3 linked regions of the Canis lupus familiaris genome follow. The protein of the gene in region 1 purifies or fractionates together with the protein of each later gene. This does not show direct contact. Links are inferred from orthologs where the notes say so. Each region holds a gene or a part of one and is shown in the gene's direction. Other genes may lie near its edges.

Evidence for each region.
Region 2: the proteins of EIF2AK2 (region 1) and ZNF346 purify together in Homo sapiens (affinity purification with mass spectrometry; 3 studies listed by BioGRID and IntAct, with this or other methods). This does not show direct contact. The link is inferred for Canis lupus familiaris from reciprocal best matches to the Homo sapiens genes EIF2AK2 and ZNF346.
Region 3: the proteins of EIF2AK2 (region 1) and MAVS purify together in Homo sapiens (affinity purification with western blotting; 3 studies listed by BioGRID and IntAct, with this or other methods). This does not show direct contact. The link is inferred for Canis lupus familiaris from reciprocal best matches to the Homo sapiens genes EIF2AK2 and MAVS.

The regions. Positions count from the first base shown.
Region 1 is NC_049238.1:29,692,444-29,699,529, reverse strand, and holds the start of EIF2AK2 (interferon-induced, double-stranded RNA-activated protein kinase), read left to right. Parts: upstream 1-3,235; 5' UTR 3,236-3,294; exon of another isoform or gene 3,295-5,155; intron 5,156-7,086.
Region 2 is NC_049225.1:37,185,938-37,193,023, reverse strand, and holds the start of ZNF346 (zinc finger protein 346), read left to right. Parts: upstream 1-2,523; 5' UTR 2,524-2,570; coding exon 2,571-2,745; intron 2,746-7,086.
Region 3 is NC_049245.1:17,972,117-17,979,202, reverse strand, and holds the start of MAVS (mitochondrial antiviral-signaling protein), read left to right. Parts: upstream 1-2,806; 5' UTR 2,807-2,825; intron 2,826-6,046; 5' UTR 6,047-6,116; coding exon 6,117-6,233; intron 6,234-7,086.

The DNA.
Region 1 (7,086 bases):
AGCAATGCAAGCAAAGTCCCAGGAAACACATGGTGCTGTTGGCCCCTTTTTATTCCGCAAAGGTAAAGTCACACTGGTTTCTGGGACACCCACCCATTTGCATGGAATAGGCAACCCAAATAACTTGACTTTAAGTTAAGACAGGATTATATTTTTCTCTCCTTCAACAAGAAGTTTGAATACAGTTCAGAACTAGACTGGCAGCTCCACAATACCCCAAATCTCTTAGGGTACTAAGTCCCTTCTACCTTCCTGCCTGTCACTTTGTGATGCCAAGACAGCAGCCAGAACTCTGCCATTACATTAAAATTAAAGGACTGTTTTATTAAAATAAGAAGGGAATGGCAATAGATAGAATCACGTGTATTAGCTGAGTAGGTCCTTTTAAAGAACTCTGCAAGAAGCCTCATCAGCGATTTGGTACACTTTATAGGCCACCTCTCACTGCCTGTTGGCTGCAAACTGATTTTTTTTTTTAGGTGAGCACATTATTACCAAATTAAAATCAGGGTTTTGTTAATAAGAAGGAGGAGATAATGAGTATTGGATAGCTATCTCAGTCATTTGACATATTTTTAGACTTTTATTTTTTATTTTTATTTTTTTAAGATTTTATTTATTTATTTATTTATTTGTTTGTTTGTTTATTCATGAGAGACAGAGAGAGAGAGAGAGAGAGGCAGAGACACAGGCAGAGGGAGAAGCAGGCTCCATGCAGGGACCCCGACATGGGACTTGATTCCAGGTCTCCAGGATCATACCTTGGGCTGCAGGCAGTGCCAAACCGCTGTGCCGCCGGGGCTGCCCCTAATTTTAGATTTTTAAAACTTAGGTTGAAAAAGATTCATACACCCAACTTACATCAAACTTATTTAAAAGTTTCCAATACCTGAATTGAGTATCTGTTTTTAAATTTAAATTTAAGCTGGTTAAAATTAAATAACATTTAAAATTCAGCTTATGTCACATTTCAAAAGCTCAGTTGCCCATATAGCTAGTGGCTACCGTACTGGTCAGTGCAGATCTAGACACTGATTAGCTGTGCTGCTTGCTTCAGCATTCTAATTTCTAATGGAAATTTATCATAATATAGCTTAGAAATTACCAGGCTTTTAAATTGCATATACAATGGAAGTATAACGTGGTTTAGAGGCAGCACACATAACAACAACTACTATTTATCAGGCATCTATTGTATGTTAGACCTTTTGCTAGGTGTACATAGCAAAAAAAAAAAAATATATATATATATATGTATATATAAATATATAAATTCCTTAATTTTATGAACATGGGCACCAAAGCTTAGGGATATTAATTTGTCCATTGTCACAGCTAATAATTGATGGAGTCAGGATTTGATATTAGGTTTACCTGACTCTACTATACTTTATCTAATGAAGACCCGTTTAAAAATCCCCACTGTGAATGGAACATTGAATGTAAATCTGGCTTTGGTTTGATTCCTGACTTTATCCCTGATTTTAATGCCTTGTTTAATGAACCTTGAAGGAGGGGGGAAAAAAAGAGCTTTTTTTGTACATTGTTAATCGAGCACTATTCAGAACAGAAAAATTATAAAATTAAGTAAAATTTAAAAATTTTACATATTCCCTGTAGAAAATTCAGAAAGCATGAGAAAAGGTGCAAAAGCATTAGAAATTACCCACATTTCTCCCACCAGAGGCATGTTTAACTTTTTGGCATATTTCTTTCCACCCTACTCTGTGATGTTTTATGTAGTGGATGACATTCGTAAACAGTTGTGTTTTATGTTACCCTCTTCATATATCTAAGCATTTCTTCCTGTCTTTAAACACTCCTTATAAACATACATTACAAATGGCTATCCTACAAGGAACTTTGCAACTTCAACCCAAATCACCAAAAGACTCTAAAGAAAGAAGTAACTTCCCGTACTTTTAAAAGCAATAGAAAAACATATCCTAATCTCAGGCAAAATGGTAACTTCCTGACAAATTTTCAGTATCTGAGGTCTTGATATAAACCTGCCATAAGAGGCGCCTGGGTGGCTCAGTCGGTTAAGGTCATGATCCAGCTCAGGTCATGATCCCCAGGGCCTGGAGAATCAAGCCTCAGTCAGGCTCCCTGCTCAGTGGGGAGTCTGCTTCTCCCTCTCCCTCTGCCCCTTCCCTGCTTGTGCTCTTTCTCTCATTCTCTCCCAAATAAATAAAATCTTAAAAAAAAAAAATCTGCTGTAAAATGATGACTTCTCAAAGACTAAAGTATTTAAGAAATACTTTCACAGAGGAAAAAAAATGACTAAAAAAAAAGGACTTTTAGGTCCCCAGAGTTGGGGGTGGGGGATAGGAGATTACTGAAGCCTACAGTCCCCTAAGTAATGTAAAGAGAGCATACCATGCCACCGATGGGGAAGTCCCAGTGGATGCTGTTAGTTTTACAAGAGAATTACTTTCATTCTTAAGACTAATTTTCTTCATGTGTCCATTTTCACATTTCAAAGTGAAATGTTGCCCTGAAAAATGGTAAAATATAGAGACATAGGAGTAGGGGTATGGGCAAAATGGGTGAAGACGAGTGAGAGGTACTAGTCTTCGGTTATGAAGTGAATAAGTCATAGGATTAAAAGGCACAGCGTTGGGACGCCTGGGTGGCTCAGCGGTTTAGCGCCTGCCTTCAGCCCAGGGTGTGATCCTGGGGTCCCAGGATGGAGTATCGAGTCTCACATCGGGCTCCCTGCATGGAGCCTGCTCCTCCCTCTGCCTATGTCTCTGTCCCTCTCTCTGTGTGTGTCTCCCATGAATAAATAAATAAAATCTCTTTAAAAAATTAAAAAATAAAAGGTACAGCATAGGGAATACAGTCAATGGTATTGTAATGGTGTGTATTGTGGTAGATGGTAGCTACACTTGTGGTGAGCGCAGCATAACTTAGAGTTATTGAACTACTATGTAATACACCTGAAACTAATGTAACATTGTATGTCAACCATACCCAAATAAAAATAAAAGTAAAAAAAATAATAATAAAAATAAAAGTAAAATATAGTAGCTTAAAAAAAATCAGGAAGAAATACTCTAACAGACGTCTGGGTCTGTTTTTTGTGTGTGTTGCAGGTGAAGTTGGCGATTGGAAAAATTTGTTCAGTGAGACTCAGAACCAGGAAATGGATGCAAAATTCAAAGAGTGCTTAACAGGCACTTCCCTAGGAGCAAAGCTGAAGTATGAATCTTATTGCCAAGCTTGATTCTGGTCATTCAGTAGGCATGGATATTTCATTTTTCTGAATAATAATTAAATATAAATAACAAAGTAAGTTGATCAAATAATAATGATAATTCAGTAACATTTATATGTAAATAATGTGAATTTAATAATAATGACAACATTTGAAGTTTTTGAGCTCAGACTTGTTTGTTCGCTTGTTGAGGAAAGGCCATTTAGCTGTCCAAAGGGGACACTCTTGCTAATGTGGCATACTGGGCTTTTCATTTCTTTCATGCTTTGGGTTCACATAAAAGCATAGGCAGATACTATTAGAAATATGCCTAATTGGTGTTTGAGTGTAAGACAGCCCTCCCAATGATGTATATTTTTTTGTCTTCCCAGAATGATTCCTCTATCTCTCACTACAGATCGAAGTACTTGTGGTAGCTATCTCAAACCTACTGTTAGGGGAAATGTAATTCCAACTCGGCACTGAAGTAAATGAATAAATCCTGTCCTCATAGTTCAAGGAAAATGCATTGCTCATCTACTCTCTGCATGTTCCTGCATTAGACCCTAAGGAGGCCCCATTCTTTTTATTTTTAAGATTTTATTTATTTATTTGACAGAGAGAGACAGAGAATGAACACAAGCAGGGGGAGCAGCTGGCAGAGGGAGAGGGAGAAACAGGCTCCACACTGAGCAGGGAGCCTGGCATGGGACATGGGGCTTGATCCCAGGACCCTGGGATCATGACCTGAGCCAAAGGCAGACGCTTAACTGACTGAGCCACCCAGATGCCCCTGGAGGCCCCTCTCTTAAGGGGCCTTTAGTTCAAAGATAAATATTAGATACTGTGTTATTGTGGCATAAAGGCTTTTCTACCACGGAGCCCCAGGTGGTCATGTAGAATTTACAAGAGAAGCTAGAGCATGTTTTGGGAAAAACCTCTTAATCCTTAATCTTCATACCATAGCTGGTTACAGTTAAGAATAGAATGGTTCGGGATCCCTGGGTGGCGCAGCGGTTTGGCGCCTGCCTTTGGCCCAGGGCGCGATCCTGGAGACCCGGGATCGAATCCCACGTCGGGCTCCCGGTGCATGGAGCCTGCTTCTCCCTCTGCCTGTGTCTCTGCCTCTCTGTCTCTCTCTGTGTGACTATCATGAATAAATAAATAAAATCTTTTTTTAAAAAAAGAATAGAATGGTTCATAGAAAAGTTACATAAAATTTCATTGAGAAAGACTGAAGGGTTACTATTTCTGGTAGTATGGTGGATTACATATACTGAAAACTCTTCCCTCAGAACACCAAGAAAATTTGGATAAAAATTCTTAAAAATACTTTTAGTTGATGGGGAGCCTGGGTGGTATAATCAGTTAAGTGGCTAACTCTTGGTTTTGGTTTGGGCCATGATCTCACGGGTCGTGAGATCAAGCTGTGACAACAGGCTCCACAATCAGCAGGAAGTCTGCTTGAGATTCTCTCTCTCCTTCCTTTGCCATTCTCCCAACCCATCTCTCTCTCTCTCTCTTTCTCTCTCTCTCTTTCTCTCTCTCCCTCTCCAAAATAAATAAATAAATCTTAAAAAAAAAAAACCAATTCATTTCTATTTAAGCACTTAAGGACACAGTAGTTTTTGCTCAACATCACATTTCCGGTACAGGGCTACACATAGTAGGCACTCAATAAATATATATTGAATAAAGGGGATTCCTTTTTTTGACAAGAGGTTGTTTTTAGAATATTAGATCAATTATGATGCTTTTGATGTAATAAACATAATATGAAACACAAATTGGTTAGCAGGAGAAAGAAGAGGAGGGGAGGATTCTTTTAACGGACTGGTCTAGGCTGTGTCTGGTTCAGATGCGGCTTGATCCAGAGCTCAAACAAGGACCCGATTCTTAATCTTCGCTTCTCAGCAGTACTCTCTCATGTAGGCTCCATTTCAAGAGAGGTTTCTCCTTGTGCAGTATTGGGAGACAGAAACCACTGTATGTTAAGCATAAGGATTTAGTAGAAAATGAATGCATGCATGTATGTTGGAAGGGCTGGCAGGATGGAAACCAGGAGACTTCCACTATATCTGCTATCCAGAGTTTAGGATTCTGTCACTGCCACTGCTTCCACCACTGCTGCCACCACATATGCCCTATGCCCTTGGAGAATTGACAAGGGAACTTGAGTCCAGCTCCTGTATGCACCACTGAGCACAGGAGCTTGCTTATCAGCTCGTTCTTTCACAGGACAACCTTTTCCTCCCTTCTGTCTTTCAAACCTTGTGCCATTGTTCATCAGTCATTGGCAGAACCCAAATTATGTCCAGAATTTTAACTCCACAGACATCTGGAAAATGTGATTTTAACCTTCCATACATTATAATCCAGGGATTAGGAAGACATAGAAGGGAGTGAGAACGGAAGCTAAATAAAAATATTATCTAGTGCAGTCCACTGCTTTGGCTAATAATCTTTCAAGCAAACAACAGAACTATGTTCCCACCTAATGCTGCCATCCCCTCCTTCAAAGGAAAAACATGTTTATCCTATCCCCTAATCTCTACACCCATTGCTATGTGATCTTTCTTCCTCTTCTCTTTTAGTTACAAATTCCACCTTAATACACTCTAACCTAGGGGCATCTGGGTGACTCAGGTCATGATCCCGTGGTCCTGGGATCAAGTCCTGCTTTGGGCTCCCCACAGAGAGCCTGATTCTCCCTCTGCCTATGCCTCTACCTCTCTGTGTCTTTCATGAATAAATAAATAAAATCTTAAAAAAAAAAGACACTCTATTTTTTTAAAAGATTTATTTATTTATTTATGATAGACATAGAGAGAGAGAGAGAGAGGCAGAGACACAGGAGGAGGGAGAAGCAGGCTCCATGCCGGGAGCCTAACGTGGGACTCGATCCTGGGACTCCAGGATCGCGCCCTGGGCCAAAGGCAGGCGCTAAACCGCTGAGCCACCCAGGGATCCCCAAAAAAAGACACTCTAACCTAAAAACTGTCATGAAAAATTAAATTAACCACCACCAGCAAATCTCCTATAAAGGGACAGAAGGAAGCAATCAAAAGTAGTTCACTAATACCTACAAAAACAAAGCAAGGAAGAAAAATGTATACCTTCTGTGGTCCTTTATTCTGAAACAGGTCATGAGACCATAGTATCAATCAGCCCAGCCAGTTTGGTAACCCCTGTATTTCCTTGCTGGCCTGATGTTGTCATGAATCTGCAATATCCAGATGTAGTTTCAAATTCCTATTTGAGGAATTGTGTGTCCCCTAGTGGAAACAGCCCAATGTCATAGGAACAGGAAGCACTATTTTGCAAGTGCATAATTAGGTTTATTATTTTATTTTTTAAAAGATTTTAGGGACACCTGGATGGCTTAGCAGTTCAGCATCTGCCTTTGGCTCAGGGCGTGATCCCGGGTCCGGGGATCGAGTCCCGCATCAGGCTCCCTGTAAGGAGCCTGCTTCTCCTTCTGTCTAAGTCTGTGCCTCTCTCTGTGTGTCTCTCATGAATAAAAAAAATATTTAATTAAAAAAAGATTTCTATATATTTATTTGAGAGAGAGAGCATGCACACCCATGCACATGCACAAGGAGCAAAGGGAGAGGGAGAAGCAGACTCCCCACTGAGCAGGGAGACCAATGTTGGCTAACCCCAGGACACTGAGATCATGACCCGAGTGAGCCAAAGGCAGACACCTAGCTGCCAATTAAGCCACCCAGGCGCCCCAAACTAAGTAGGTTTAATGTGGGACACAACCCTCTCTTAATTTTACTGTTTCCTGAGTTCATGTATCTTGGCGATGGACAAAACAGCAATTTGGTTTAGCACATACACTGCCCATGAAGGGTAGTACACTCAGCTTGCTAAGTATTGTCTCC
Region 2 (7,086 bases), on another chromosome or scaffold:
AAGTCACTGATTTAAAATTTGGCAAGTCCTGAAGACAATGCTTCCCTGCAGCCTTGAAGATACTATAAAATGACCCATCCTGAGCCATGGACTAGGATTGCAGCAAAGATGGGGGGGTGGATGTCATCATCACCCTCCTTCCCCCAGCCAACGTCAGCATAGCTTTGTCACTGTTTTCCTCAAGAACAAACCCTGCTGTTCAGACCAATTTCAGATTCTGAGTCAAATAATGTTTGTACACATCCTGTTAGTAAAACTTAATTTATGGTCACTTCTAACAACTAGAGATGTGTTCACAGAGCTGAGAAGTAGAAAGCCTCATGGTAGTGTTCACTAGAGAATAAATCTAAATTGTTTTGAGCATCTAATCAGATTGAGAATGAGGGGAAAGGGACTATTTTTTGCTCCATTTTGTCAAATATACATGCTTGAATTCTGGGAATTTTACAAAAATGTCCTTCATACCTTTGGATTTCTAGCTGAATAACTCTGCTATGGAAATGTGGGCAACTAGAAACTTTCTATGAGATAAATAAGTAATGTATAGTCATTGTTTTTTAGGCTAGTCATCTGGTATTGGCAAAAGGACACAGATTTGCAGCCTGAGGACTGGTGTTCAAGCATAAGCTCTAATATTAACTAGCTGTGTGACCCTGATAAAACCCTTACCTCTCCCAGTCTGTTTCTTTATTGTCGAATAAGAAAGAATCCTTCATAGGAGAACTACCCTGGGGATTAAATGTTAAAGGTGCTTTGTAAACTATAACACTACACAATTATCAACCATCTATTGCATTGTAATAGATGAGTCAGGCATGAGGTCTGACACAGAGCTGATGCACAATATTTATAGTATAAATAAGTAAACCCCACTGGTGAGCTGGGTGATCTCAGGCAAGAAACATCTCAGTTTCTCTCTTTTGCCTTCTCTGATAACCACCTCCCCCTAGTTCATTGGGCTCCAGACATACAGTCCTTTTTCCTGTTCTTCCAGCAGAGCAAGCTCACCCCTGCCGCAGGTCCTTTGGACCTGCTGTTCCCTCTTCCTGAAACATTCTTCCCCAGCTCTTTGCATGACTTTCCAGTTCTCATCAATCCAGTCTTAGATAAAATGTCATTTATTCAGAGGCTTTATTATTCAGTGAGTAATATTCCTTCCACGTCATTCACCCAATATATATTCCTGTTTTATTTTCTCCTTAGCACTTATTACTATCTGTTGACTTATTACACTCTCCTCCACTAGAAAAAAAAAAAAAAAACACTATACTAGAGCTTCCCTGTCCACAACTGTATTCCAATGCCCAAGATAACATCTAACTCATAGTAAACTCTCAATAAGCATTTGAATAAATGAAGTTGAAATATGATAATTATATTAAAAGTTTCATTTTCATTCATTCAACAAATATTTTGTATGTACCTATGAGAGCCCAGGTTCTATTTCAAGATGCTGGGGATTCAACTGAGAACAAAATAGACAAAAATCTCTTTCTTGGGGTATGACTACTAGTGGGGAAACAAAGAAAAAACAAGGTTAAAAAGTAAAAACATACTATATCTGATAATGTTAAGTGTTAAGAAGGAAAAAAATAATAAAGCAGGAAAGAAGGACATGAAATATGTGTGGAGGTGTTAAATTTTAGATAGGGTAATCAGAGAATGAAATGAGAGGCTGAGCCCTGAGGATATACGGGGGAAATGCATTCCAGGTCATGGTAACTGGCACAATAATGAAGGTGTTGGAGAGTAACACAATAAAGGATGAGACAGGGAGGTTAGGGGAGTTGGACTGTATAGAGCCCTTTGGCTAGACTAAGACTTTGGCTTTTACCAAGAGCGAGATGGTAAACTGTTGAAGAATAGGAGCATCAGGGTATCATGATGCGGCTTGTTTTAAGAGGATTGCTGGGGCTGCTGTGCTTCGAATACCTGAAGGGCAAGGGAAAGGACCAGTGAAGACGCTACAATAACCTTGGCAAGAGATGATGGCTCCCCAAGACTCGGGGAGGAGGAGTTGTGGGGATGGAAGATGAAATTTTGGATCCGACAGTCACATTGGGAGAGTTTAAGGGGGAGGTCTGCTCTGGGAGTTAGAACTTGAAACTCAAATGGTATTATTTATTATCAGCAGTAAACCAATCATGCAGATGGAGTCCTGACTCTACCACATCCTGGTAGCAAACTGTTGAGTCGACTATTTCTAGGTTCTGGGCCTCAGTTTCCCTAAGTAAAATGGAGAAAGTGTTCCCACATAACAAGGGCCTTCAAGAGAATGAAATGAGAAGTGTTGAAGGCTGACAGTGAGCAAGGTGAAAACCTTTGGCTTAAGACTGCACGAACCTGTACCAGAGGGAGGGGGCTGCTGTTAAACCAGAGACTGACTTTCAATTCCACAGCACACACTCCGAGAACCCCCAGCAGCGACCAAAGAGAAGCGTGTGGGCCCCCTACCGCAAGGCGGTCCGCAGAGCCCAAACCTCGCGAGATTTGTTGGCCGGGCAACGTCCCACATCTCGCGAGACCAAGGTTTATGAGTGACTATCGGCCGGTTAGGGCTTGCTGGAAAGATGGAGTATCGCGGGTTGGGCACCGTAGAGGCCGCGGACAGTGGAGGGGCCCGGCCATACAACAGCTCCGAGGAACGAGAAGGACGGGAACCGGACGGGCTGCGCTTCGACCGCGAGAGGGCGCGCCGCCTCTGGGAAGCAGTGTCCGGGGCCCAACCAGTGGGGAGGGAGGAAGGTGAGTCCGGGGACCTCAGAGGCAGCGAGTTCAACCGCCCGCTCATTTCACGGGGAGGGGCGGGAGCGCGGGGCGGGAGCACGGACAGCCCCCGGGTCTCCGGTCACACCCCCTGGCGCCCGGCCCGCCCCCTTGCGTGACGCGCCCCGGGACTCCTGGACTCGTGCACCCCAGCAGGGCCTGGGTACCATGGGCCAGGCACCCCGAAAATTGAGGCCGCAGCACCACAGGAATGAGGTCTCCGGGCTTAAATGGTCAAGGCCCCTCTCGTACTCCGGTCCCTCCATTCTCACCCACCAGAGCGCAGCTCTTCTTCAACTCTTCTTAAACGACTTTCATTCCTATCCATCCCTTCTCGGAGACCCACGGAGCCTTCCCCGCCAGACTACTAGCCCCCCACCATTTCTCACAGACTCCATCGTCCCAGTCCACAGGTTCCCCCACCCCTATGTCCCTTGCCTCCTTTGCATCCTTTCTCTCATACCCCACACTGCCAAGGACTCCAGAAGGTCTTCTTTTTTTTTTTTTTAAACATTTAAGATTTTTTTTTTTTTAAGATTTATTTATTCATGAGAGACACAGAGAGAGAGGGGTAGAGAGAGAAGCAGGCTCCACGCAGGGACCCCGACGTGGGACTCGATCCCAGGTCTCCAGGATCACACCTTGGGCTGCAGGCGGCACTAAACCGCTGAGCCACCCGGGCTGCCCGTCCAGAAGGTCTTCTTAACCCTATGTTCCTCCTGGCCTTGGTGTCTTGAACCTGATTTACCCCTGTTTCTAGGTGTCTGGTCTCAACTGCCTGGGTCCTTTTTATGAGGTGAGGGCCGGGAGACTGAGAAACTGGCCAGAGTATACTTTGGCTCCAGCTTCTTTGTATCCCATGCTTGTGCCAAAGTTGTGGAGAACAGGATACAGGAGAGGCCACTTCTGGGCTGAAAGCTTCCCAGCTTGCTCTGCATTTGACCTGGCACTGGGTAAAGTGGAGATAGAGGAGGATGGTAAAAGCTGGCCTGACTTGGTTGTGTGACCTCTTTCATAGTCCTTAGCAGTTAGCTGCTTAACTCTTAGCCAGAAGTACAAGAACTGTTTGGCCTGTGCTAATCCTGTCAAGTAATCTATAGGGAAATCAGATAATTTGTTTACTTGGTGAGCAGACTAATCTTGGAAAGTTTAATGTATTGCTTGTGAACTGATTACCCTGGAATAAAATGGAATTTTGGCCACATCCAAGGAAGGTATGTTTACATTTGGGGTGGTACACAGACCTATGCCCTTTTGTATGCTTCTCCAATTTAAAAACTAGTCTAGTCTGACTCCTAAATTAATATGGGCCCTCTTTCTGCCTCATAATTTCAAACTTGTTTGATACAAATCCTCCCCCAAACACACCCCAATTTTCCTTTCACTAATTTGACAAACATTCATTGATACCTGCTCAGTACCCAGGATGGCTGGGCATCAGAGCTACAGAGATGAGGAAGATACTGTCCTTGTCCTGAAGGGATTTTATAGTTCTAGTCCAGGAAGCAGACACCAAAACAGTTTCAGCTTAATGTAATGGGTGCAGTGAAGAAGAATGTATAAGAATTGGTTGTGCACAAAGAGGGAGTGACCTTTGTCCTTGAGGGATAAGAAGGGATCGCTTGATCTTGAAGCAGAGAACACAACAGCTGTGCTCTAAAAAGTGAATTGCTTATGTGTCTATGAATGTACAGTGTCACTTAGGACCCAGCTCATTTTTCCTACTCTCCTCACTTTCCAATAATTATATGAGGCCTAAGTAGATACCTGTAACCCCAAGTTCTACTCCTCTTTGTTTTGTTTTTCTCTTAGCAACTTTTTTTTTTTTTTAACATTTATTTATTTATGAGAGAGAGAGACAGAGAGGGAGAAGCAGGCTCCATGTCGGGAGCTCGATGTGGGACTCGATCCCGGGACTCCAGGATCGCGCCCTGGGCCAAAGGCAGGCGCCAAACCACTGAGCCACCCAGGGATCCCCTCTCTTAGCAACTTTTATTGATAATTTATATACCATAAAATTCACCCATTGTAACTGCACAATGCAATGATTTTTTAAGTAAAAGTACAGAATTGCGTTTTAGAATATTTCCATCACTCCAGTTAATTCCTTTGTGCTTCTTTTTTTTTTTTTAATTTTTATTTATTTATGATAGTCACACAGAGAGAGAGAGAGAGAGAGAGAGGCAGAGACACAGGCAGAGGGAGAAGCAGGCTCCATGCACCGGGAGCCTGACATGGGATTGGATCCCAGGTCTCCAGGATCGCGCCCTGGGCCAAAGGCAGGCGCCAAACCGCTGCGCCACCCAGGGATCCCCCTTTGTGCTTCTTTACATTAAACCTCCACTCTTACCTTCTGCCCTAGGCAACCACTGTACTCTATAAATTTACCTATTCTGAACATTTCATGTAAACAAAATCATACAATATGTAGCCTTTTGCATTTGGCTTCTCAACATGTTTTTGAGGTTCAGCCAAGTCGTACTGTGTATTAGTACTTAATTACTTTTTGTTGCTAAATAGAATCCCCATTGTATAGATCTTGCTTTTTTATTTTTTCTTATTTTTATTTTTTTTTAATTTTTATTTATTTATGATAGTCACACAGAGAGAGAGAGAGAGAGAGGCAGAGATACAGGCAGAGAGAGAAGCAGGCTCCATGCACCGGGAGCCCGACGTAGGATTCGATCCTGGGTCTCCAGGATCACGCCCTGGGCCAAAGGCAGGCGCCAAACCGCTGCGCCACCCAGGGATCCCGATCTTACGTTTTTAAATTTTTTTTTTAAGATTTTATTTATTTATTCATGAAAGACACAGAGAGAGAAAGGCAGAGACATAGGCAGAGGGAGAAGCAGGCTCCATGCAGGGAGCCTGACGTGGGACTCGATCCTGGGACCCCAGGATCAGGCCCTGGACTGAAGGCGGCGCTAAACCGCTGAGCCACCTGGGCTGCCCTAGATCTTGCTTTTTTATCCTTTGACAGTCTCTGCCTTTTGAGTGGGCTCTTTAGACTATTCACATTTAATTTCATTATTGATATGGCTAGATTTACATTTTCTACTTTGCTGTTTATCTCCTTTACATTTTTTTTTTCTCTCCTTTACATTTTGTTCTTCCCTTTCTCCTTTACTGACTTCTTTTAAGTATTTTTTAGTGGGGATCCCTGGGTGGCGCAGCGGTTTGGCGCCTGCCTTTGGCCCAGGGCGCGATCCTGGAGACCCAGGATCGAATCCCACATCAGGCTCCCGGTGCATGGAGCCTGCTTCTCCCTCTGCCTGTGTCTCTGCCTCTCTCTCTCTCTCTCTGTGACTATCATAAATAAATAAAAATTAAAAAAAAAAAAAGTATTTTTTAGTGGACCATTTTAATTTCTGTTAATATTTTTTATACTTTTTTTTTATTTTACTTTTTAATTTTATTTTCTTAGTACCCAAGGGACTACAGGATGCATCTTAACTCATCACAGTCTACTTCAAATTAATACTAACTTAATTCTGATAAAATATAAAAACATTCTTCTAATAGTGGTCCATTCCTCCCCCTCCTTTGTACTATTATTGTCATATATATTACATTGATATGTTATAAGCCTAATTGTTCAGTGTCATAATTATTGATTTATACAATATGTCCTTTTTTCTTTTTTTTTAAGATTTTACTTATTTATTCGTAAGAGAAACAGAGAGAGGGATCCCTGGGTGGCGCAGTGGTTTGGCGCCTGCCTTTGGCCCAGGGCGCGATCCTGGAGACCCGGGATCGAATCCCACATCGGGCTCCCGGTGCATGGAGCCTGCTTCTCCCTCTGCCTGTGTCTCTGCCTCTCTTTCTCTCTCTGTGTGACTATCATAAAATGAACAAAAAAAATAATTAAAAAAAAAAAGAGAGAGAGAAACAGAGAGAGAGAGGCAGAGACACAGGCAGAGGGAGAAGCAGAAGCAGGCTCCATGCAGGAAGCCTGACATGGGACTCGATCCCAGGTCTCCAGGATCACACCCTGGGCTGAAGGCGGCGCTAAACTGCTGAGCCACCTGGGCCACCCAGTATGTCCTTTTTAAAAAGATTTATTTATTTATTTATTTATTTGGAGGGGCAGGCAATGGGGAGGGGCAGAGGGAGATGAGGAGAGAATCTCAAGCAGACTCCACTGCTGAGTATGGAGTTATATGCAAGTCTCACTGTCACAACCCTGAGCTCACAACCTAAGCCAAAACCGAGATCAGGTGCCCAACTGACTGTGCTACCCAGGCACCCCTATACAATATGTCTTTTAAAGAAGTTAACAGAAGTAATTAGGAAAACAATATTTATAATATCTTTTATATT
Region 3 (7,086 bases), on another chromosome or scaffold:
TGTGCAAAGTGGCTACTGTATTGAACTAGATGCCTGTTGAATGTCCTTCATTTGGGTTGGTTTGAAATTTCCCCATGATTGGCTTCAAATTATGAGTTTTGGCAAGAATTCCACAGATGGGATGATGTGCCCTCCTTTGGGTCCCAGACAAAGGTGGCAAGAAGACTATGTAGGCCAGAATTTTTATTGTGGTAATATATACATAACATAAAATTAATCATTCTGACCATTTTTAAGTGTACAGTTCTTGGCATTAAGTATATTCACGTTGTTGTGCAGACATCACCACCATCAATTTCCAGAACTTTTTCATCTTCCCCAGTGAAACTCTCTACCCCTTTCCTCTAAAATTTAAAATTAGAATTACCATATAATCCAGGAAGTCTACTTCTAGATACATACCCAAAGAAATGAAAGCAGGGATGTGAACAGATTTTGTATACCCATGTTTATAACAGTATTATTCACAACTGCCAAAAGGTAAAAAGCAGTGGATGAATGGATAAACAAAACATGGTCTACTCATATAATGGAATATTATTCAATCTTAAAAAGGTAGAAAATTCTAGTATATACTTTAACATGGATGAACTTTGAAGACATTATGCTAAGTGAAATAAGCCAGTCATGAAATGACAAATATATGATTCCATTTATATAAGCTATCTAGAATAGGCAAACTCAGAGACAGAAAGTAGAATAGGAGCTTCTAGAAGCTGGGTGCAATGGAGAGTGGAGTGTTTAATTGGTAGACAGTTTTACTGGGGAAGATGAAAAAGTTCTAGAAATGGATGGTGGTGATGGCTGTACAACAACGTGAATGTACTTAATGCCACAGAACTGTTCACTTAAAAATGGTTAGAATGGTAAATTTTATGTTATGTGTATGTTACACCACAATAAAATAGCCATACTGTTCCATAGCAACTGCACCATTTCACATTGCCACCAGTAATGTTCAAGGGTTCCAGTCTCTCCATATCCTTGCCAATACTTGTTATTTTGTTTTATAATAGCCATCCTAAAGGTTTATATCAGCTATAGACTAGATTTTTAAAAACATTTTTATTTATTTGACAGAGCATGTGCACGCACAAATAACAGTGTGGGGGAGAGGGGCAAAGGGAGAGGGAGAGAGAGAATCTTCAGCAGAGTCTCCACTGAGTGCAGAGCCTGAGGCAGTGGCTCAATCTTCCGACCCTGAGATCATGATCAAGAGTTAGACTGAGCCATCCAGGTTCCCAGTCTCTCTTTCATTTTTAAGTTGCAGGGTAAAGTATAACAATCTTAAGTGTACAGCTGATGCATTTTTACATATGCACAAGCCCATGTGCACACTGCTCACATCAAGATATAGAACATTTCCATTCCCTGCAAAAGTTCCCCTGTACCCCAACCCAGAAGTCAACAGTGAATGATTTTTCTTTATGTAGATGAGTTTTGCTTGTTTTTCAAACTTGCCTTACCTTGCAACTGGGGAAACAGACAGCATGTACTTTTTGTACTTGACTCTGCTAGCAGTGGTGCCCATTTATCTGGGGGAGACTCATCCATGCTGTGTATATGAATTGTTTGCTCTTTTTCACTGCTGCATACTATTCCACAATGTGACCACACCACAGTTTATCTCTTTATTCTGCTGATGGACCTTTGGGTCGTTCCCAGAGTTTGCCTATTGTGAACAAAGCCACTATGAATATTAGCTATTGTGCATGTGACACACACCTAGGAGTGGTGGCTGGGTGATAGGCTTGGCATAGGTTTCACTTAAGAACTGCCATTTTCTGAATCTTTTATTTATTTATTTTTTAAGATTCTATTCATTTATTTGACAGAGAGAGAGCACAAGCAGGGGGAGCAGCAGAGTGAGAGAGAGAAGCAAGCTCTCTGATGAGGAGGGAGCCAGATGCGGGTTTGACCCTAGGACCCTGAGATCATGACCCCAGCCAAAGGCAGACCCTCAACTGACTGAGCCACCCAGACACCCCTGAATCTTTTAATATTTCTTAAAACCAGGAAAAATAAACCTCTACCTGGTGATTGTCTGAGTATTTAGTGGCTTCTAAGGTATAAGACTTTAAGCCTGTACCTGGAACACAGTGGGAGGCTCAGTAATTGCTGGCCTCAGCCCCAAACAGAGGAAGGGCCAGGCAGCTGGCAGGCGCTGTGGGGAGGTACCTGGTCCAGACCCTTGGGCAGAGAAGCCTTTCCCACACAGCACTCAAGACCCACAGCCAGCAGTCTGGGCAGCCCGAACTTGGCGCCCCTGCCCTGCTCTCACCTACCCAGCCTCCTCGCACTGTGATCCTGCTTCCTCAGGCCCAGCATTGGTGTCGCTTCCTGTGCACTTTGCGTATCACTCGATATTTATTGGGCACTAACTTTATGCCAGGCCCTGGGTGCCCCGGTACAAATGCCATAAAGACCCTCCCCCCTCAAATTACTCAGGAGGAGTGATTGCTTGGCGTAGGAAGCATGGGGACCCAGCCGAGCACTGACTCCGAGGTCGGTCAGCCACTTGAGTTCTAGCCAGATTCTGTATTTCCCCTGGAAGTTTGTTCTGGACAAACAAAATAATCTGATCCTCTGCGCCCCAGCAGGAGCCTAGGTCTGCCCGGAGCGCCTGTCCCGCGGGTCCAGGCCCTCGAACCACTGCCAAGCGCCCACCCCCGCGGCCCAGTGGCTCAGGCTGGCCGCCACGCCCCGCCCCCGCCGCCTGGCCAATGGCCTCGCGGTCCCGCCCCTCTCTGCCGCGCCCCCTCCTGCAGGGGAGGGTTCCGGGGTGTCTGCGGAGGTCCGCGGGTAGCCGGGTAGTGGCTACCGAGGTAAGTTAGCCGTCCCGGGCGCGGTCGGTCCCCTGGGCTCTGGGCGCGCCGATGGCTTTCGGAGCGGTGGTCAGCGGAGGCAAGAGCGGAGCGGGACGCGGAGCCCACCGGGGCGCACGGGGGTCCGGGGACGGGACTGGCTGCGCGGGGCTGGGTTAGAGCCGGTCCCGAGGCGCCGCGCTTCGCGGCAGCGCCGGGCGGGGCGGGGGGGCGTGGGTCGTGTGCTCGGGCGGGAGGGGAGGTTGGGGGAGCAGACAGGCGCTGGCTGCTGAGTGCCTCCAGCGCCCCGCAGGCCGGGGGTGACCCTGGGGCGAGGCCTAACCTCCCGGAGCTGCGGCCGCGCCTAGAGGCCGCCGTCCTCCCCCGGGCCTTGACAGTTCTCGGTGGTGACATCTGACCAGAACAGCCTCCCTCCCTCCCTCCGCGGGCCTGGTTCCTTCCAGGAATTGGAGCCAAATCAGTGAGGCCTCGCCTCTCTCCTCCGGGTGGTTATTTCTTTCCGGGACGCACTCAGCGCGTCCGGGGCATTCAAGGTAGGAACTTCTCGCAGCGTCAGTCCGCCCTTCTCTGAGACCGGAAGGAGCTGCTAGGAAAACATTGGGGGAAAAAAAAACACAACCAAAAAACGACGTTCTGTGCACGCTGTGGAGCCTTAAAAACTTCTGGAAGGACAGTCAGCGATCTGAGAACTGCGACTGCCGAACAGGGCAGGTTAGCATGCAGTCAGCCTTGTCTGAATGATTTACATACTATTCCTACAAGAGAAGGGACTACGTCTTTCAGCCTCCCTGGCACACCCCCATCTGAGGACTCCCCTCACCCAGGCAGTGGCCTTGGTCCCTCTGGGGCTGTGAGTCTCACTTGTTGCAGCAGCCCCTATGTTCTGTAAGGTGTATGGTGAACTGCAATGAGACAGCAAGTCCTGGGTTCAAATCCTGTTAGGGCCACTGGTCTGTTTGTACAACCCAGCATCATTTCTCCTCTCCTAAAGGAAAGAAAATTAGAATGTGCCTGCCTATAGTAGATCATGAATAAATATGAACAAATATGGGCTTCCTTCCTTTTTGGTTGGAGCATGTTCTACTTCCATACCCCCCAAACTCTTGTCCTTAGGGCTGCGGCTCAGATGCAGAAGAATGTATCACCTGACTCTATCCTTGTCCCTCCCCACATGCCATGGAAAGAAAGGAGAAAAGCGTCATTTAGCCACCTTAGAGTTCTTTGCTCATCTCCTGAACGCTCAGAGGACCCCTGCCCCATCTTCTTGAACCTCTTGACTTCTGTCATTGACACTTGCCACACCAATAATGTAGCACCTGGTGGCTGACAGAGCAAGGCATGCCACATGAGGCTATGAGGCCAGCAGACAGGACTACTGCCCCATTTCCCATATGGGTGACAGACTGGTGGCCCCAGCTCTGCTCTGCAACATTATCTTCTAGAGTCCCACCCAAGCCACACACCCACATTTTTGCTCCAGTCTGGCTCCTCTTCTGACCCCTTTCTTCCCAGAAAACCCACTTGGACATGTCATAGTGTCTCAGACTTGAGACACTATGATCACCTGATCAAAATGGAGCTTTGGAATCCTCTCTGCACCACAGCTTCTCCACCAGGTTCTCTGGCCTGCCTAAATGGCACCATCCATCTACCTAGTGCCTGAGGAGTTATCCTTGATTCTTCTCTCTCCCTCACTTCCCACATCCAGGACCCACTAGGAATCCAGCCACCTCTCACCATCTCCATGGGCAGCATTCTGGCCATACCCATCCTGTGGCCCCCTGCTTCAGCCTCCCAATTGTCTCCCTGCTTCCATCCTGGCCTCTGTACAATCCAGGTCCTCACAACTACCAGAGAGGTCTTTAACATAAGTCAGATCCTCTCCCTTCTCTGCTCAGAACCCCCAGTGGCTTCCCATTTCACTCCAAGAAACCCCCCAAAGCAAAAATAACAACCCCCAGAGTCCTTTCCTGCAACACTGCACATGAGCCACCACTTTTCAGAACCTCCTTGACCTTGATCCCTTCCCCTCCCCTTAGCTTTCTAAACCTGGACCACCCAGACCTGCTTTCTGTTCTTCAAACATGCCAAGGTCATTTCCACCTTAGGACTTTTAAATTGCTGTGCCCTCCGCCCAAAATGCTGATCTTGCAGCTCAGAATGGCTCAGCTCAAATGTCACCAATTCAGAAAGACTTACCTGACCACCTCTGTTCATGCAGCACGTCCTTCTCCAGGGATTCTGTCTCAAAACCCTGGTTTATTTTCTTCATAACTTGGTTACTATTTGGAATTCTTATTTATGTACGTGTTTACTGATTTGTTATCTGTCCCACCCCAATAGAATATAAATTGGATGATGGCAGAGATCTTGTCCCTCTTATTCCCTGCAGCTCTCCCTGAGGGGGAGGCAGGTAAGGAACTCACAGACAACCCCATCTATAATTGCAAATTGTGGTAAGTCCTACCTAAGCAAGTAGTAGCAATTGCTAGTAATTGAGGCACTTGTAAATGTCAGGCTTATGCAGTTGAGCTACTGTATTGTCAAAACAAGCCCTCTGAGTCATTTTAGGGGTAAAGAGAAGACTGTAGAAAGCCGGTAATTTGCCCTAGATCATACGGTGAGTGGAACTAGCCTCCTATCCTAAGAACATGTATGTGGCAAGCTTTAATGGTGGGCTTGCGGTCATGTTCTGGAAAGGACCTGACCTCTGATCTTTGCTCTTCTGCTAACTAGCAAGCCCCTTAATTTCTTGGTACCTCATTTTCTTGACCTTTAAAGTAGGATGATCCTATTATTATTTTGGGGCTTTTTTCTCTTTTTTCTAGTGTACCCCAAAGAAGCAGCAGTCCTTGGTGGAGTCCTCTTGCTATCAGCGACTAGGGACACATACAGACCTTGGGACCATGGCAGGGAGTCAGAACCCTCCCCAACACTGACCAACCTGCAGGGCGGGCAGAAATGGGGCCTAGATCTGGATCTGATTTCTTTCTTTCTTTTGGATATGATTTCTTTTTTTTTCTTTCCCGGATATGATTTCTTTTGGTCATCAATTTCATTTTTAAGTAGGTTTATTGAGGGCCTCTGGGACTCAGGCAGTAATAAAATTGGTTGATTAAAGAAAAAAGCAAACATTGCAGAGAGTTGAGAAAGAGAAGTGATTGCCTTCTGTCCAACCCCACTCCCAACTCTGTTGCCATATGTGGTGTGTTTTCTTTCAGTCCTTTTTTCCCTCTCCATCCATCCTTTTATGGGCCAGAGCCTCTGTGTCACTGTAGAACCTAGACAGCGATGACGTTTGCTGAGGACAAGACTTACGAGTATATCCGCCACCATTTCAGCAATTTTGGCCGTATTCATGTTCTGGAGATACTCCCTTACTTGTCCTGCCTTACAACAAGCGACCAGGTGAGCAGGGGCGTGACAGCTGACCCGGGGCGGGGGGGGGGGGGGGGGGGGGGGGGGGGGCAGGGGCGCCAGAGCTTTGCCCAGAGCCAGGGCCAACTCCTTCCTTCTCTGTCATCTGCATCCTGCTTTTCTTTCTTTTTAAATTTTTTAAAGATTTTTTTTTTAAATTTGAGATAGAGAGCAGAGGGAGAGGGAGAAGCAGACTTCCTCTTCCCGCACAGGAAGCCCGATGTGGGGCGTGATCCCAGAACCTGGGATCATGGCCTGAGCTGAAGGCAGGCACTTAACTGCTTAACCGACTGAGCCACTTGGGCACTCCATCCTGCTTCTTGACCTTGATGCTTCTCTAACTCGGAGAATGAAGTGTGATTCAGGCTGGCCTTTGCGACGTGGCTGAGCTCCCTCTCGTGTCCATATGGTGTAGTGCTAAAATATAGGGTGCTGGCTGCCTGAGATTTCTGGGCCTCAGTCCCATCTCCTGCTTCCATTGGGACTTTACTTTGTCTTTCTTATCGTTGTTCGTGCTGTGTTGACTCCATTCTCCTTGTCAGGGGACCCTGTCCTGACAGGGAGCCCAGGGCTCTGTTTCGAGAGTTCACGAGAGCCAGACTGCTCTGCTGTGGCCCCAAGTGAAGTGGAGCTGGCCGCCTCCTAGATTTAGCTGCTCCCAGAGGGCACCAGCACTCTGCTTCCACCACGAAGCTGTGGTGGTGGTGGCGCCGCAGGCCTGTGGCTGATGGGGGGAGGTGGTGGTGTCCGGCCCCCTCCCTTGTATCTGGGGGCTTGTGGGGATGCCTTGTGACTCATTTTGCAGTAAATGTTTCCTGTGGGTTTTCATTTCTGCTGTCTGGTT